Linked DNA regions of Arabidopsis thaliana. Each later gene encodes a partner of the first gene's protein in a complex. Each region holds a gene or a part of one and is shown on either strand. Other genes may lie near its edges.

Region 1 (4,886 bases):
TGACACCGACAAAATGCTTATATCTGAAGTAAACCACTTGTAGTCACTCGATGCTTTTGCACAACCTACAGTGAGGAACAATCATCAAGTCACCATGGTTTTCAAACTAAAAAAGAATAGGTCACGAGAACCATAGATTGGGAACTAACCTCCTGTCACAATTAGCTCCATCTCCTGATAAACAGCAGGGGTCCATGGGAGTAGAACCTTAGGTGTGTCATCTTCACTGTTCAATGTGAACTGCACTTTTTCACAAACCCTAATTTCTTGGACAACCTTGAGAACCTGCTAGAGACAAAGTTGTTACTCTTGCAGTACCAACAAATGGAAAGAGACAAAAGGTTTTCCAAAGATATATAATTTTCTCACCTCTTTTGACTCTTGATGCCCACTGAAGTAAGTCAATGTAGATGTCAGCTCTCCTAATCCTGGTGAGATTGCGTTCAAAATTCTAGAATTTCGCTGACCATATTCAGAGGAAAGTTCATCTGGCAGTGAGACGATTTTCCAATAATCTGAATCTTTTCCATACAGTTTTATGTCATCCGTCTGCAATCAACACAAAGGAAATTATTATGTTGAACATACATGCAATATCATCTACAATAAATCCTCTGGACATAACTCGGTAAAGGAAGAAACTTAAATGCAAACAAATGAACAGCAGTGAGAAAGAAAGAAAAACAGCCACAAAAGACACATCATCAGGCTTTTCTTCAGTTTTAAAGATTTGAATACTGTGTAGCCACCAGCAGTTTCCTCCCCAAAATAGAACACATACTCAGTATAAAGAGACTCATGACCAAAGACAAGCTTATGGACGATTGATTGGCAGCCTAAAGATAAATAAACTATGCACCACGTCCTATAGTTAGAAAATACAGAGGCAAGGTAATATTGTCACACAAAGAAACTGATGCAAACTACATGTGGGCATGCAAAACAGGTAAAAGAAAAAGAAAAGTACCTCAGTTATATAGATTTCATGTGCATCAGGTCTTCCAGAGAAAATCTTCATTTGAATTAGATATTGACGACCAGACACCACATACCAATGCATAGATGATGGAAAAGGTTTGGATTCTGTAATAAGATCCCCTGACATTGACCAAGGTGATATGTACAAGATAAGAGTATCTGGAGTGACAACATTAATAGATGATCCTTGAATGTGGCCAGCGACCCGGGTATCCTCAACAACAACTGTTGTTACCCCCAAGCTTAACGCTTTAGTCAGACCTATCAAAGAATCCACTTGAGCAACAGAAGAGTTTAACACAGACCATCTATGATGTGGTGATGGTAGATCCACGGCTGCAAATAAAATAAACAATAGACCAATCAAGAACGAGAATGAAAAGCAACATAACATAGCATGTCACACTCGAGCTACAGTTACAAGTATTTTCAAATTATGAATCAACACCACTGAAATATCATAAAGCGTATAAGCCTGCCAGTTTAATATGATAAATGTACCAAGGTAGCTCTATACATTGTTTTCATTTAATATATGTGTCAAAAATCATCAGCTTTAAACACACATGAAAATCGAATAACTCAAACATTGCTAAATAACAAGTTAATCTCGAAGATGCAGACAAACCTTGAGGAACATTTCCACGCATGACCTTTAACGTGTAACCAAAAGAAGCTCCCATCAGGACATAGACAGGTGAGCGAGGTTCAAGAGACATGGCTTCTGCAACCGTTAATACAATTTCATCAGCTATATGGGTCAGAGGAGCCTCAAGCAGATGAACTGAAACCTTCTCATGTCCAATTTTAGTTCCCTTCACAACAAACAAATCTGCAAATACACCCTGCATTTACCATGTCAACATTAGATCTCTCATCCATCAATTTTTTAGATTCAGTAATTCACACTCAACAATAGATATACATACACTATCTTCAAGCTTTTTCTGGATATCTAAGTAGCCACACAGTCCTCCACAGTCAGTCAACGGAGATTCCTTCAAAGGCACATGAGCAAGATGATGTGTTGATCCACCACTCTCAGGCATTAGCTTCCAAATGAATTGTAGACCCACCAGTGAGGAGAACTCGTTATCTGCAAATAGATTTCAGCACATTTCTAAAATCACAGCACAAACTGAAGCAAAAACATTACTTTATTGACTTGTGACGACACTAACCTTCATTATCAAAAGCGCGGACTCTAAGCATGGAAAGACCATCAAGATCAAGCTTGATAGAATTATGAAAAATCTGAATCCGTGAGAAGTTGTCAATAAAGACCTTGCAGCGAATCACCATCCCAGTCTGTATATCAGTGGCATAAACTGCAGTCTCCTTTCTACCACTATACGGAGAAATCGATCTGAGACGCGCGCTGGTCGAACAATGACTGCTCGAATTAAACTCAGGTGTGACTGATAGAATATCATGATGATCCCATGACCTACAAATTACAACAACAAAACTCAGATTTGGGTAATACAGCTACTTATAAGAGAGATGAGTTTGGGTAAATGTGTACCATTTGAAGCAGCCATCACTTCCTTGAAGGCGATACTCAACCGGATTCTTCATCTTGGGAGGTAAGAGTATGTTAACATCGGTGATGTGTGGACCAGAAACTAATTGCGATGAACTCTCTCCAGCAGAGAGCAAGAGAAGGAGAAAGAAGAAGCAGAACGAGACGGGAACCATTTTGGTTTTTGTTTTGCTACATCAACGCAAACGAATGAGAGTAAATTGAAGAAGTAGCCAGCTTTGAAGCAGTAGCTTTTTTATTGAGTGAAGAGTGACGTGAAATCGAAGAGCTAGAGGTTGTAGATGGATGAGATTGAAACCCTAAAAGAAGGGTTTTTAGAGGGGTTTATGGAAAGGGGAAGAAAATCGAGGGAAACGACGGTTACGTGGCAGAAATTTATTGGTGGCGAGGGAAGATTCGCTGTCGTTTTAGCATTTCCTGAGGAGAGTGTTGTTCACGCGCCGATGCGGTTTTGATTTTTCAGGTGCTCGGGAGAGAAAGAAAGCTTTTGGGATTTTTTCGAGTCTTTAAAAGCTTGGTCCCTAGAGTTTTAAATTTTTTAAAATCCAGCATAAGACTTTACCTATGTGCAATTAGAAACTGCGATTGGTGACAAAAGTATTACAAAAAAGTTGATGGTACAAGATAACTAAGTACAATTAGAAGTCACACATCAACGGTTTTTATGGTTTTTATGTTGTTTAAGCAGCAAGAATTTGCTCTTTAGGGATATTTACTTGATCATATATCGTGAACAAAAAATTATAGGTAATTGAGAGGTCATAGACTTTTGTAATACACAAGACATTTGTAAATTGTTATCACATACTCAACACCATATATATTTTCAATACCTCTCGAGCATCTTCTGTTATGATTTTTCTTATTTTCTCTAATTTTATTACAAACCTTATGGTTACTAAATACTATGCAGAACCGTGCCTACTTGAAAGAAAATGAAACATTCGCCTACGATATTCAAATTTCCAAATTTTTACATAACTCATATCAAAATCAAGTTAATTTCTTCATAAATTTTGTGCATTTTGTGTTTGTATTTATACTGTACGGATTTTCTCTTACATACGCAAAAATAAAAAGCTTTTTAATATTGAAAAAGAGAAAAAAGAAAATAACCAATTATGTAATAATTCTTACAAAGAGTATAAATATATAAATACAGACAAATCTTCTTCTTTTTGCACACCCGAAAAGCCTTGTCTTCCTATCTCTCTACCAAAATTTCTCTCTTTCTCTTTCTCTCTCTCTATAGCTCTAGAGTGCGTCGTGAGTATGTTTTTATTGACGCCATTGAAATTGGGTTAAATCGGTTTGAATCGGATTGAACAAAAACTGTATTAATAATAACTAGATGAGTACCCGCACTACGTGCGGGTTTACGTATTACTATTTATAAATTGTTTTATATAATGCATGTTCATATAAAGTAAAGTTAAATGCATAGGTTTTGAAACATAAATATGATTTGTAATTGTTTTTGAAAAGCCCAACTATATTAGTTCATCTGAAAAAAGAATGTGCTTGAGTTGTTTTTTATTGTTGTTTTAGATTTTTAGTTTTTTTTTTGAATTTATATATCCTTGCTTTTTTAATTATATGTATAGATTGTGAGACGGTGAAATTTTAGAAAATTTATTTCTTACACTAAAAATATAACATGTCTTTATTAATCATGTCTCTGCATATTTAATCTAAGCATATTCAACTTGATGTTCTTGGAAAGTTTAGTTAAATTCTTGTCATAATCTTATATCTTACGTATTAGTTATAAAGATAGCTCCTCAAATATCTTTCAAATTACTTGTTTTCTTAGCATAAATCTTGAAAAGCTTAGATATATTTAATCTGCATATTCATTTAGTTTCTTTCATAATAATCGTCTAATTTTTAGGCCAGGAATATGTGTAAATCTTTGGATTTTATCATCACTTTAGCCACTTAAGTGGATCTCAAAATTAAAGAGGATATATTGAATTAAAAAATGTAGAAAGAGTGATGGTTCAAGTTCTCATTAATTATATTTTTCTATTTTAATTGTTATGTTGAATTAATTACTAATTATGTATTACTTATTTTATGAAGTCTAGGTGGCAAACTCTCATGTGCTAATGTGTCAAGTTGTGGAAGAGAGTTAGTCTTCTTTCATATATATAATTCTTCCTCTACTTTTCTCTCTTCTGATTGATTCCAATCTTCTTTCATTTCTTCTTCTTTTTCTTATGGAGAGGGGGCATGTTAAATAATATCAAATTTATTTTTATTTATACTTTATAGTATATGTTTAAAATTTGAAAAATACATTTTTTATTGAATATCCCATTTATATACCAAGTTTTGTTATATTCTTACCATTCACTAAATAATT
Region 2 (5,508 bases), on another chromosome or scaffold:
CGCTTTACCTTTATAAGAGAGACACCGATGACATTTTTTCTTATTGGGCTTTTTCCACTAGGCCCATTTTCAATTCTATGTATAAAAAGGTTTATTTATTTTTCAACTTGCCCTAATTTGTGACCATCTTCCTTGAGCTTGTTGTTCCGATGAAGACGGTCACCGGAAGAGTTAACAGTGCAAAGCCAATCTCTCTATCAAAGGCGGCTACTCTTCTCTCCGGATTCGTTTCTTCTGAGAATGGAGCCTCTCAAGATGTTAGCGCGTACCTTCGACGAGCTTCCGGTGCCTTTATTGAATTGAAGAGCATCCATAGGGAGATTAAATCAAAGGAGACGAAGCTAAGCTCTAAGAAGAAGAGGAAGAGTCATCGAGAGATGGGTTCGGAAGAGAGGAAGAAGAGTAAGAAAAAGAGAAAATCCAGCGAGATCGTTGTTTGAAGTTGATCAAAAAATTGTAGTGGAATTAAGAAAAGCTTTCAAATTTTGTGGGAATGTTGTTGTAGTTGAAAGATGTTCACTTGGTGAGAAAGATTTGATTTTTAGAATTCTCTTGTTTATAGTTTCTGTTATCTGCATTGAAATTATTGTTAAGGTTCAAAACTTTGGATTTTGTGGAGAAACTACATTGGTCACAAATCTGAGATGACCAAGAAAAAACAACTCTTCTGCGCCAATTTGCGACTCTGGCCTATACGTAATTGTTTCAATGACATTCTTCATATTGTTAAACAAAGGCATCAGGCGGCGCTTGTTCCGGAATCTGCACAACAAAAGCAACAAATTAATCTAAGAGCAATAAATTTTTTGGAAACAACTTAAATGATTAGTTTTGAGCAATTTACCTCCCCTGGATTCCATTTCTCCTTTAGCCAGATACTACTATCAACAGGATCACCACCTATTTGCAGCTCGGTTCTGCCGCAAATGATTCAAGTTAGAAACGTATGAAACATCATAGTATGTTTTGATTAACTCTGTCAACATGTTCAACAACGGTTTTTAACTATAGAAAAAACCTGGAAACAGATTGAGGACTTACCCGGAAGATGTATTTGTCGTGTTTATAGCAGGAGCAGTAAAAGATGCAACAGGGACATTGAAGTTGAATGCGGTCTGATTGTTCTGGGAAGTGTTTGTAGCCGGTGTTGGAGTTGATTGACCAAAGATGTTATTGTTTTGTGGAGTTGTGGCAAATCCGGGTCCAGGTCCAAATGATGCTGGTTTGAATGTTGTTGATGGATTGGTTTGGAAACCAGAGGGACCTGTGATCATTTGCAAAAGAGGTTTCAGATGATGGCGAGTCTCTTGGCCTTTAAGCAAAGTTTAACATTAGAAGTAGTACCTGAAGGAACAGGTTGAGGAGTGTTGACGCTGAAAGCATTTGGTTGTTTATTAAAGCTTGCAAAGGCATTCGGAGGTCCAGATGAACTATGTAGAGGAATCATTGGCCAGAGAGAAATATGGAAACAGAGTTTTCATGAAGGCACCCCTTTACGGAATTTGGAAAATGGAGAAAGCCCACAAAAGTTGATACCTGAGACCACCAGCGTTGGTATTGGAGAATGCAGTTTGTTGATTATTTGATTGTTGAGTAAAGCTTGCAAAGGGGTTCGGAGGTCCAGATGAACTATGCAGAGGAATAGTTGGCCAAAGAGAAATATGGGAACCAAGAGGTTATAAAGGTAACACAAACTTGTTTGAATATGGAATATGGAGAAAGTTAGTACCTGACTCCACCAGCATTGGTATTGGGGAATGTAGTTTGTTGATTGAAGCTTGCAAAGGCATTCGGAGGTCCAGATGAACTATGTCGAGGAAAAATGGAAACCGAGAGTTAGTTTGAAGGCAACACAAACTTTTTGGGATATGAAAATTGGAGAAATCCCACAAAAGTTGATACCTGAGTCCACCCGCATTGGTATTGGAGAATGCAGTTTGTTGATTAAAGCCAGAGAATGCTGGAGAAGGGGAATTGATCTGACTGGACTGAGGGAAGATACTAGGAGTGGTTGCAGCAAACGGGCTTTGATTGGCGGTAACAGAGCCTTTGTATGGATTCCGTAGAAAGTTTTCAAACTCGGCTATTTTGGAATTTTGCAGATTCCTCTCCCTTTCAACCTATATAATGCACCATAATAAGCCAGGAAAAGAGGAAATCAACTTATGTCTTATCAGTATGAAATGAAAACCAGTGTAAAGTATAACAAACACAAGAAAGGTTAATCTCACAATCGACTGTAGAGGTATTCCTCGTTTAGCTTCTTCATATGCCACTGCACGTAGTTCTTCATAGCTGATATCACCGGTAACATCACATGGAAAACTAGAAGAAAAAAAAGATAGAAAAAATCAGACACGTTTATAAAGAATGGATAAAGATCAAGGATGCTAAACCAAATGAAGTAATACATACTATTTCCAGTGGCCGTAGCATGTGAGCTTCCACATGGGTCTCTCATTCTTAAAATCGTCTTGCATTACCCGCTTACACGCAGCAGGATCTGTGCATCTTTGTATAGTAACCAAGAGAGAAACAGTAAATTTCCAAAGAAACAAACGGCTAAAAGGATGATAATTGATAGAACAAGCATATGTAAACATATATACACTCACTTATGATCTGCCGGCTGCGTCTGTTTACCAGTCTGCTGTGTAGAAGCAGCAGCACCACCACCAGTAGGTGTAGAAGCCGTTCGTGACCAAGTATTCTGATTTGCAAAAGCATCATCATGTCACCATTCATTCAACAGGCAAAATGCTTTCGTTTCTTAAAGAAGATGCACCATTTTTCTCATCCAAAGCCGAACGATAACTTGCATTCTATCAAAGCAATACTTGCATCTTAAAAGAGGAAAAAAACAAATTGACCTGGAACTGATTCGGTCTGCTGGAACCACCACTTTGTACACCAAATCCAAAAGGGTTCGAACTATTTTGTTGCTGCTGCTGCTGTTGTTGTTGTTGGTTTTGTGTACCAAAGCCAAAGGGATTATTTGGCTTAGCTTGTTGTGGATGAAGAAATCTACAGTTTTCCCCATACCTACAACTGCAAAAACAGCACAAAGGACGATGAGTCCAATAATTACGTCTCTAAGCTTCTACTATCACTAATCATAACTTCCGAAGCAAATCAACCCTCATTAATGGCGGAAACGAAGATTAGAATCTATCAAAGTCAATAAACTGTATGATTCATTTAGATTTCAGCTCAATAGACATCGTTTTCTAACACATTACCACCTTCGCACATCGATTGATTTCAAATTAAACCCCAGAATATAGAACACGAAACCTAAACTTCAGCAATCGAAACAAACTTCAAAAACTCTTATAAAACAACAAATTGAATCAAAACAAAAACTAGAACAGATGAAGAAGAAGATGATGATGATGAAAAGAGTATTTACCTGCCACGCTGAAAGTTTCTACACAGTTCCTTCCTCATACTCGCAGCTAAAACCTTCGAACTGTGTACGTATGTGCGTATATATATATGTAGTTTTGCTTCTCTCGAGAAAAATGAAGAAGCGTTAGATTGACGAAGAGTGTATCAACAGAACAAAAGGAAGTCTCTATGTAAATTACCATATTACCCTTACATATCTTCAAAGTATTTAGGGTTATAAACGTAACTCCAATACACTTCATCATCCTCATTCTCTTATCCATCAATCGTTACTTCGTTTCTTCTCTATCACCAGGAAAAAAGAAGAAGATAGCTCCTGAAGACAAAAATGGCGGTTTCTCTCCCGAACTCGTTTCTTCAGATTAGCCCATGTGTTCCTTCTCTGCAATTAAGAAAGGTAAGCTCGAAATCGATTTCTCATTCTTCGTCTATTTCTCCTCCTTCCCCAAAATCACTAAATTTGTTTGTGTTTTTTTTTCAAAATTAGCCGGTGATGGCGGCAGTGAAAGGAGGAAAACAATCGGTGAGAAGAAGCAGCAATACGGTGGTTCAGATAACGTGTCGTAAGAAGGAATTGCATCCTGAATTCCACGAAGACGCAAAGGTTTACTGCAATGGAGAGCTGGTGATGACTACAGGAGGAACAAAGAAAGAGTATGTGGTTGATGTATGGTCAGGTAACCATCCGTTTTACCTCGGGAATCGTTCGGCTTTGATGGTTGATGCTGATCAAGTTGAGAAGTTTCGTAAGAGGTTCGCTGGGCTTTCTGAGATTATGGAGATTCCTGTGCTTAAAGGAGAAATCATTATGCCTACTAAGAAAAGTAAAGGTCCCAAAGGGAAGAAGAAATGATGAGTCTTTTCTGGTAAAGCTTATGTCTTTGAATTTGTTGTCTTTTCAATTGAAGTCGAGATACTGCTTAGGCTGTTAAAAATTGTATGTGAATTTTCTTCTGAATGCTATTGGTTATGCTTTCTTTAAGATCTATTTGGTTTCATTGAGAGTGAGACTAGGATCTCAGAGCAATGATACAAGTAGTAGCGAATCTCAAGGACAAATCTTTAGCTTGTGAGTTTGGCATGAATTTGTGATGGATAATAGATAGATATACACTGGTGAGAGAAACATAGCAACAATGCCTATGAAATGGTAATTGCAAATGAAAGAAAGGTTGTGGCTTTTGCCACATTTTGTGATAATCTTGGAAAGTTATGGCATGAGATTAATGACTAGTGTAGGTAGTTGTTGTTGATGTGTAAGTGGTGTGTTGATTAGTTGATTGAGATCATTTTTACATAGATTTATAAGATGTTGAACATGATGATCATGGTCTATGTAAGTGTCTGCTGAAGTTATCAGGCAAAACATTTGTCTTCTGACGACGAAGTGGCGTACTAATAGTGAGCAGATTCTTGAACTGTGGCCATGGCGTAGGAGTATGTTTTGCTTGAGAACATAAAAGAAAATTTTTGGCACTTGAAGTTGAAGATTCTGTGATCATGCCCAATTGTATACTACTACTGAATTTGTGTGACCAATATTGAACAGAAACAGAATACTCCAGCTCAATCAGAGGTTTTACCAATATCAAGCCAAACCAATATCAGGCCGTCTCAAGCCCATTTGAAGACAGTCGAATGTGTGGGCTATTTTAGGCCCATTTCCTCTCAGCTGGAGTCTTCTGCTTCTTAACTAAGCTACCAAAGTTTTCACTGAAGTTCAAAAGGAAAACCTGTGGGCTTTTTAATCCGTTAGTAAATTGGGTTTTGACATCTCTACATACTTCATATGCTGATCGATGCAGTTGAATCTGAATAATTGAGTTAAACTAAATTCATTCGTTGGTTGAAGTCTTAGATCCTTTCTTATCAATGATTTGCGATCTTGACTAAAATTGAGTCTTAAAATATTATCTTAAAGACTTTAGACACACAAAAAGAAGGTGTTTTAAGATAAACTAATGGTCTCCTGTTTCCTAGCATAAGATTGATGAAAGACGCTGTGTTGGGTTAGTTAAACTATATGTCTAACCATATCTAATTAGTTTGTTAATTATGTTGGAATAAATACAATGTGTTGGATTAAATAAATTTTAATTT
Region 3 (7,350 bases), on another chromosome or scaffold:
ATGCCTCCTGCGACTGCTCAATTCCGATCATTTAATTTCGGAGCTACTCGTCAGAGAACAGCTAATAACAATCAAGCACCTGATGCAGGTTTCAATGCTCGTATACTTCTCCAGCTTCTTCCTGTTGTCTTCATACTTCTGCTCAACTTCATGCCTTCTTCTCAACCAGTTTACCAACTCTCTGCAACTTATCCTTACCAGTACAAGTTCACTACACAGAAAGGTGTCAATTACTTTGTGAAATCGTCTAAATTCGAGCAGGATTATCCACGAGATAGCAACGATCGACACACGCTGGAAGAACAAGTTGAGAGAGATTATGTGTCTATACTTAGTCAGAATTGTAGGTATGAGATGCAGAGGAAACAATGGGGATTTGTTCGTGAAACGCCTCATTGTGACATGATGAGGAGATTTGATACAGCTGCTGCTTGAAACAACTGAAGCTAGTACCAACAATGAGGCACACATTGGTAATGAATCATCAGCTTATAAAACTTTTATAATGTCAATGCCTTCACGAGTCAAACTGGTATATGTTTTTGTTTTCTTTTGTTTTGGATTATAATGCTTTAGAACCTAACATACGATCTTTGGATTTTGTGTGATTATCTCTATGTTAAGATTTTGCTTTTGCTAACCATGCCTGTTTGAGCCCAAAAGAAGAAAAAACAAAAAGTGATCCTCGAGGTTAAGTAACAAAAATGGGTTTAACAGCTTCTTACAAGATCTTTTTTAGACAAGTATTCGAATTTCTTAGATTCAAAAGCTTCGAGCTATCTTCTCGTACAAATCTCGAGGCCAGTTCCGCTGTGTGTTGCTTGCAAGAAACCCAGCAATCTGCAAAACAAATTCATGATTAATATCCATATCATGATCTCTACTGATCATATATATGGCGCAAATTGTTAAAGTATACCTTAGATCTCATGCCCCTGATTGATCCATCAGTGTCAGCTACGTTATCCAAACAGGTCAGAGCAACCTTAAGTAAATCAGGGACACAAGTCTGAAAGTAAGAAGATGCTTTCTGGAACTCATCCGAGGTGGTGTCTGGTTGTCTTGGATCGAGATGAAGGAATGGAAGTTTCGCGACTTCTCTTATGGCATCTAGATGTTTGTTTAGTCTGGCCAACTTGTGGATCGATAATATTGCCTCAAGCTCTCTTAGTATTGTTTCTTGTTCCATAACAAGATGTCTTTCCTGGGCACTGTAGTATAAAAGAATAACACTTCCAGTGAGAACCTCCCTATTCAACAACTACAAAACTTAAGACAAGTAAATGAGTTAGTCCATTGAAGTATGCAATTTACCTGACATCAGGGTGATATTTGTAAGAATTGAGAATGTCATTGCCCGAGAGAACAAGCCCCTCTGTTCGGCTTTCACCATCTGGCCTTCCACGGACAAGGGAGCAAATGGCTTCAGATAGACATTTGTTTATCGTTTCCAAGGCAGACGAAAACGCACCAACTCTCTTCTGTAGTTCTATTGACTGCATTAAATAACAAACCGTAAAAAAAACTGAAACATGGTAAAAGAAATAAATGATTGATATGTGAAAGCACTCCAATTGAACAAAGAACCAACGGACAGTTTACTAAAGCATGTTTAAAGTAGTTAGTATATGATCAAAAAGTACAAAAGATACTTACTTTGTCATATAATCCAGCTTCTTGAAATTGATGCGCAGCTTCGATCAAGAACTGCTGCCTCAATTTTATATCAGGCAGAAATCTTCCAAGCTCGCCTTCTTCACCGGAACCTCTAGCACCAAGCAGAAAGTGAATACCATCCTCTTGTGACAAAATCTCAGTCAGTAGTTGCTTCAGCATCAAGTTCCTTTGCCTTTGTTGATCAACATTACTTCTTCCAGACCAAGCCTGTTGACCCCCACCTACTGCAATAGCAGCTTGTGCATAGTATTCCAGCGTCATTTGCAGATCACCATGATGCAAATACATCGACCCATATTGCCTAATCATGCTAGATGCCTCGGCATTAGCATCCATCACACTTAGTTTGCGCCCAGTCCCAGATCCTTCAGAGAGAATGGAATGGTCCACTAGCGATATAGCTACATGGACAGCATCAATGTTATACCCTTCATCTCCAGCTTCGTTGGACATGTGCATGATCGCCGGTAGTAACTGAATGCTAAGAAGCAAAACATATGGGTATACCAGAGGGTCTTTCCCATTCTTAGTGTAGTAAGATGGCTCAAACTTATTAAGATAGGCCTGGAGATCATCCAAACTGTATGGCACTAGCCCATCATTCACGATCATAGATGAAGATCCACCAGCTACGTCACGTACACATGATAGTTTGAACCAGAGAAAATCTTCTATTGTGTTAAAGAGGGTCGAAAAATCTCTCATGATGCGATCAATTTGTCTTCGGGAACCAGATATGATAGTGTAGAGTAGAAGCTTCTTCTTGTCATATGTTGTTTGGCCAAACCGATCACCCATCCTTAACAATTTCTCACATTCCTCAGAAGCAGTAGCAGCGGTTTGTGCAGCCACAGTACCACCTGTTGTAATCCACTCTGTAAGCTGCCAAAAAAAGGGGACATCAAAAAGGCAACTCCAAAACATTAATGTGGGTTATTAAGACCAAACAATATACCAGAGGAGCAAACTGTTGTTGAGATGACCGAGATGACTGGGCAATTTCTCTAGCTTCCTCATAATAACCAGTTCTCAAGCAAAAATATATCTGTAATCAAAGAGGTATATTTAATCAATCTCTTACGTTAAGAAACTTGGGGGAACAGCAATAAGAAAATTCTACTGTTCAACTTGATTGTTGAGGACAAACTGAAAATTTAAAGCGTGAGTGAAAATATGTGAAACCTGCTGCCAAGTAGTATCAACTGGAGGCTGCCTACGAGCATCAACTGAATCAAAGTCCAAACTCCCATAATCTCTCAGACGAATCTGCGCAGTATTGAAAAAGAATCAAGAAATGCAAACAAACCAATGTATATGATTGCCACAAAATAATATTCCTGTGTATATATGCTTCGTGTTAAGCTTTATTAGATCTGTGGCACTCACCCGAAGAAAAGCACGAATTCTTTGCAAATTTCCAACTGATCCACCAAGAGCAGCCTAGACAAAGATTCAAAGGAGAGGATAGAAACATGTTGTGATTATTGACGCACTTGAACTCAGTGAAAGATCAAGGGCATATTTTCAAGAAAGCATCCTTGAAGTTAAGAAAGTAATTAAAAAGATGCATCAAGACACATGTAACATGCCTTAAATAGCAATTCCAAGCAAAACTAATACAAGGTAGAAACGAGTACTTGTGTAGGATGACTTTGAATTGTATCCATTATATGTTTCCCATGCCCACATTCCAAGTGGCGTCTTGCACCTATCACGAGGGCCATCCTCTTGGAAACACCATGTTGTACTGCTGACTCTTCACCCGTCATTCCCTGTTTTATAAATTGTTAAAAGCCTTGGAAATGTAAGAACAGACTTTTAAGGTGCCACTGGTAGGAAAAGGAATCTTCCAATCAAAAGATCACCTGAATAAGCTGCCATAATTTTTGCATGTTGACTGATTTTCCACGAGTCAAATCAATTTCTAGACTTTCATATGCACCGTTGAACAATGTTGCAAGCTATACAAACACACAAATAATAAATTAGTAGGAAGCAGAGTTAAACAAATGAGTACAAGGTCAACTAGTTAGATTAATGCTGAACAAAAGGCACTTATCATAAAAAGGTGAAGGGTTTACATATATATTATAGGTTTAGCTTCACTTCTAAGAGCAGTAACAAAAGATGCAGAATTTTTAGCTACAACTATCAAGCAGGACGACATTCAAATGCACCAATATTATAGAATTTACAAGGAGGTTTTCGAAGGTCATACTTTAAATGGCAAGCCTCGTTCTCTTGCAGAGTTTAGTTTTTTCACAACCTCGGCATAGACATATGCCTTTTTCTCATGAATGGGTTTGTTAGTCATAGACACGAGTTCCGTTCCAGGTTTTGAAGATACTTGGGGACTCAAAGGCACTAGTGAACCAGCATGAGAGCCTCTACTTGAATTGATCATCTTGGTCTTAGGTAACATTGAAGTTTTGCTAAGGCTGTGAAGAAAGTCACGTTTTTCTTTTATACAGTCCTCCTGCCATAAACAGATTTCACGTTGAAGTATATATGAGAAAGAACCTGAATAAATTCAAAAAACATATCCTTCTAATTAGCAATAAGCAACTCAACCAGCTTCTAACTTTCTACGCAAAGAATTTTCAAACTACAATGCCATAAATATCTAGGGATAAAGAACATGTTCCTCCAATTAACAATTACGGTCTCATGCTTATCATTTAGACATTTACGAGTCTTTGACTGTAATAGCATAATGAAAAGAAGCAAAAGACGAGAGGAAAAACTTTAAAACCATTACAAACAGGAGAACATTGTCTAAAGGCAAAAGATGTGACAGATGAAACTAACACGGAAATCAAGTCAAAACAATTTGTGATAGTCGCAATACTGACCTCCAACACTTTCAACATGTAGTTGTTAAAGCTTCGAACATTATCTTTCTGGGCCTCCTGTATAGCCGATACCATTGCCATTTCATGAACCTAAAGACAAAGAAGATGCATATAGAACAATCTGTAGTGTAATCAAAGAAAAGGGAATTCTCGAAGAGCATTTAGATATAGAAAACCTGTTGCAGGTATTCTTCAACACTTGTTGTCTCCGCAGGGAATACATCTTCAAAAGTCGTCTATTAACAATCCAAAAGAAAAACTTAGGCAAAGGTAATTCAGTACACAGATAAAATGTCAAATTATCCAAAGAACAGAAGAGCAACATAAGCTAGTAGATATAGATAGGAAATAGAGAAAATGCTCACCTTCAACTCAAATGACTTAAGATCACGAGATAATTGATCTGCATTGATTCCCTCCCGTGCAAGTAGTCTGCGTATCCAAGCAAAAATGAAGACACCAGAATCAAACTATCGACCAGAGGATTCTACGATGTTAAGCTCGTCGGACCTACCTTCAATCTCGCACTCCAATACTCTTTAATGGCTAAATTGAGTGACCAATATTGAATTCTCGGGGACTCACTAAAACGCAAGACCTAGGTAAAGAAAGAGAAAATCGAAGTTGTAGTACCTAGTGGCAGCAATAGACTGTGAAGGAGCTTCGTTTCTTAGGGTTTTAGCTTTGAGTTTCCTCGACAATGCTTCCAATTGATCCAAATTCCTCTATAAACCACGGATATATCATTACGAATCAAGCTCATCGTGATAATAGAAGCCAACAGACAAACGGAGGTTCGAAATCGAAAAGAGTGGTGGTTAGTAGAAGGACCTGAAGAGGAGGAAACTGAGAAGAAGGAGCCGCTTGCTCCAGAAGCTTAGTCGAAGAATGGAGAAGATCAGTCCATCCACTCATCTCCTGGTCGTTCGCCATACTTATTGAGAGTTTGAGCTTCAGGAGAACTCAGCAGAAGAATGTCAAGGGTTTAGGATTCGAACATTTTAAAATCAGTTTTTTTCTCCACTTACTCAAACCGGTTTAATTGGTTCGGGTCTTGATTCCTTATTTGTCGATTCGGTACAATAAAATTCAAAACCAAAGGAAAAGAGAAAGAAGACACACGACACGGCACGACCTATTTAGCTGTACACCAACTGTTCGACGAATTGCCTCCTTGAACATCTCATACTTTAAGCTTATGGAGGAAAAAGACTGGGAAGCTTCTTCTTCGAGCGAAAACGAAGGTGGTTTTCCAAACGATGATGACGAAGAGTTTCATTCTGGTGGTTCAGTGCCCAAGTTACAGTTCAGGTGAATTTAGATTTACTTTTGCCCAAATCATAAACTGCTAAGTCAACTAATCTTAGACTCAGTTTCTCTTTTTGTTTTTTGTGTTTGCAAAATGTAGAGTAGGATCTTCCAAGGCTCGTTGGATTACTGAACTAGGAATGGCGGAAGTTGAGGTTAAAAGGGGAAAACTTTGGACGACAACTGGAATCATTCGTAGTGGAAAGACATATTGCTTCATAGAAGAGGCTCTGTATGTGGCAAACTAAATATTTTACAAGTTTTTTAGATCAGTCTTTACCAAAGATCTGATGAAAGTCTCTTCCTTTTTCGTTTATTCTTCTTCCCTTTGCAGGTATTTGAGTGAAATTGGAGAGTTACAGATCTTAGGTAATGAGGATGACATAGTGATCCCATTGAAGGACTTGTATGAGAAAATTGCAGAGGAGAAAAGCGGTTGCTCTTGGGAAAACTACGAGGTTTATAGATACTTGAAGGGTCTAGGTTACATCCTAGGTAGGCATGGAGTTTCTTGGACGTTAAAGGATGCTGCAAGACCGAATGGTGAAGAAGAGTCAGCTTGTGCTGGTGAATGTCCTGCAGACAATGATACTGTAACTAAACTCTTGGGAGATATGCAGATTTGTGATGCAAAAGCGGTGTTTGACGTGTATCTACCAAACAGCCGGTTCAAGAAGTCTTCTCCTGGTGAACCAAGCTTTGTGGCTTGCTTCTCGGGGTAAGCGTTTTTGTTAGTTTGAAGTTCGACTATGAATGCAAGTTTTTCACTATGCGTCTTACTAAATATACTCATATTCTTTAACAGGGACTCTCCACCAAGCAAAGAAGATATTAAAGTCCTGCAAAAGCGCATAGCTGCACCATTAACATTCTGTCATATCGCTCAGGGCCGTGCCAGTTTCTTTTCCTTCAGTTCTATAGACCTCCCTGTCTTATCATAAAATGTAACAAAAAACCGGAATGATCTTGTATTCTTTTGAAAAAGTCGAATCAAACTGAGAGTTTACATACACTTGGAGTAACTTTGATGATGCGTATTCATGAGGTATTATGTGTAAAGGGTTCTAGGAAGAATCTTATAAGGGCTCAGGAAAAAAGAAAAAGGGAAAGACGAAAGCTTCTTTGAGTGAGATTGTTTGTATCCTCGCACATAAAGATCTAAGGAGCTCCAAGGTTTTTCAGGTCATTTGCATTGGCAAACCACGTGGGTACTATTGTTGGCAGATTTGGATACAAGTCCCCGTATGTTCCTTTTATCGTGTTTTCTGCAACTCCAGTGGCTTCTATTAGACCTGCAACTCATTATGTGTCAATATGTTAGAGAAAGAGAAGAGCTGATCAGACTTTGCTTTAAGGGCTGCTATATAGATTGAGATTTAAATGTGACCTTTGAGCAGATGCTTCTCATAAGAAAGTCGAGCAATGACATATACGATTCCTGCTGCAACTGATACAGGAGCCCTACGGCTGCAACTGCAATAAGTAGAAATATATGGGTTTTAAGTCTGCTGCA

The links. The genes of interacting proteins can lie anywhere in the genome.
Region 2: EMB3012 (region 1) and AT1G75340 share a complex: the UniProt entries of both Arabidopsis thaliana proteins name them as parts of the nuclear pore complex.
Region 3: EMB3012 (region 1) and AT3G57350 share a complex: the UniProt entries of both Arabidopsis thaliana proteins name them as parts of the nuclear pore complex.

What each region holds. Positions count from the first base shown.
Region 1 is NC_003076.8:16,211,151-16,216,036, reverse strand, and holds the start of EMB3012 (embryo defective 3012), read right to left. Parts: upstream 3,002-4,886; 5' UTR 2,677-3,001; coding exon 2,504-2,676; intron 2,426-2,503; coding exon 2,160-2,425; intron 2,075-2,159; coding exon 1,908-2,074; intron 1,824-1,907; coding exon 1,607-1,823; intron 1,315-1,606; coding exon 968-1,314; intron 550-967; coding exon 370-549; intron 286-369; coding exon 150-285; intron 66-149; coding exon 1-65.
Region 2 is NC_003070.9:28,268,427-28,273,934, forward strand, and holds AT1G75340 (Zinc finger C-x8-C-x5-C-x3-H type family protein), read right to left. Parts: upstream 3,656-5,508; 5' UTR 3,448-3,655; coding exon 3,410-3,447; intron 3,300-3,409; coding exon of another isoform or gene 3,240-3,299; intron 3,049-3,239; coding exon 2,871-3,048; intron 2,711-2,870; coding exon 2,616-2,710; intron 2,512-2,615; coding exon 2,416-2,511; intron 2,326-2,415; coding exon 2,232-2,325; intron 2,121-2,231; coding exon 1,903-2,120; intron 1,808-1,902; coding exon 1,730-1,807; intron 1,630-1,729; coding exon 1,537-1,629; intron 1,431-1,536; coding exon 1,345-1,430; intron 1,265-1,344; coding exon 1,042-1,264; intron 918-1,041; coding exon 845-917; intron 763-844; coding exon 727-762; 3' UTR 544-726; downstream 1-543. Other genes in the region: AT1G75335 (nucleolar-like protein), read left to right, coding at 150-440; emb2184 (Ribosomal protein L31), read left to right, coding at 3,737-3,805, 3,896-4,261.
Region 3 is NC_003074.8:21,219,844-21,227,193, forward strand, and holds AT3G57350 (Nucleoporin interacting component (Nup93/Nic96-like) family protein), read right to left. Parts: upstream 5,582-7,350; 5' UTR 5,463-5,581; coding exon 5,361-5,462; intron 5,255-5,360; coding exon 5,163-5,254; intron 4,962-5,162; coding exon 4,895-4,961; intron 4,766-4,894; coding exon 4,706-4,765; intron 4,620-4,705; coding exon 4,530-4,619; intron 4,154-4,529; coding exon 3,896-4,153; intron 3,639-3,895; coding exon 3,543-3,638; intron 3,450-3,542; coding exon 3,315-3,449; intron 3,118-3,314; coding exon 3,064-3,117; intron 2,944-3,063; coding exon 2,860-2,943; intron 2,723-2,859; coding exon 2,633-2,722; intron 2,560-2,632; coding exon 1,657-2,559; intron 1,497-1,656; coding exon 1,315-1,496; intron 1,212-1,314; coding exon 920-1,211; intron 841-919; coding exon 763-840; 3' UTR 544-762; downstream 1-543. Other genes in the region: AT3G57340 (DnaJ heat shock amino-terminal domain protein (DUF1977)), read left to right, coding at 1-435; AT3G57360 (tRNA-splicing endonuclease subunit), read left to right, coding at 5,728-5,840, 5,938-6,069, 6,172-6,555, 6,643-6,778; AT3G57370 (Cyclin family protein), read right to left, coding at 6,996-7,129, 7,225-7,310.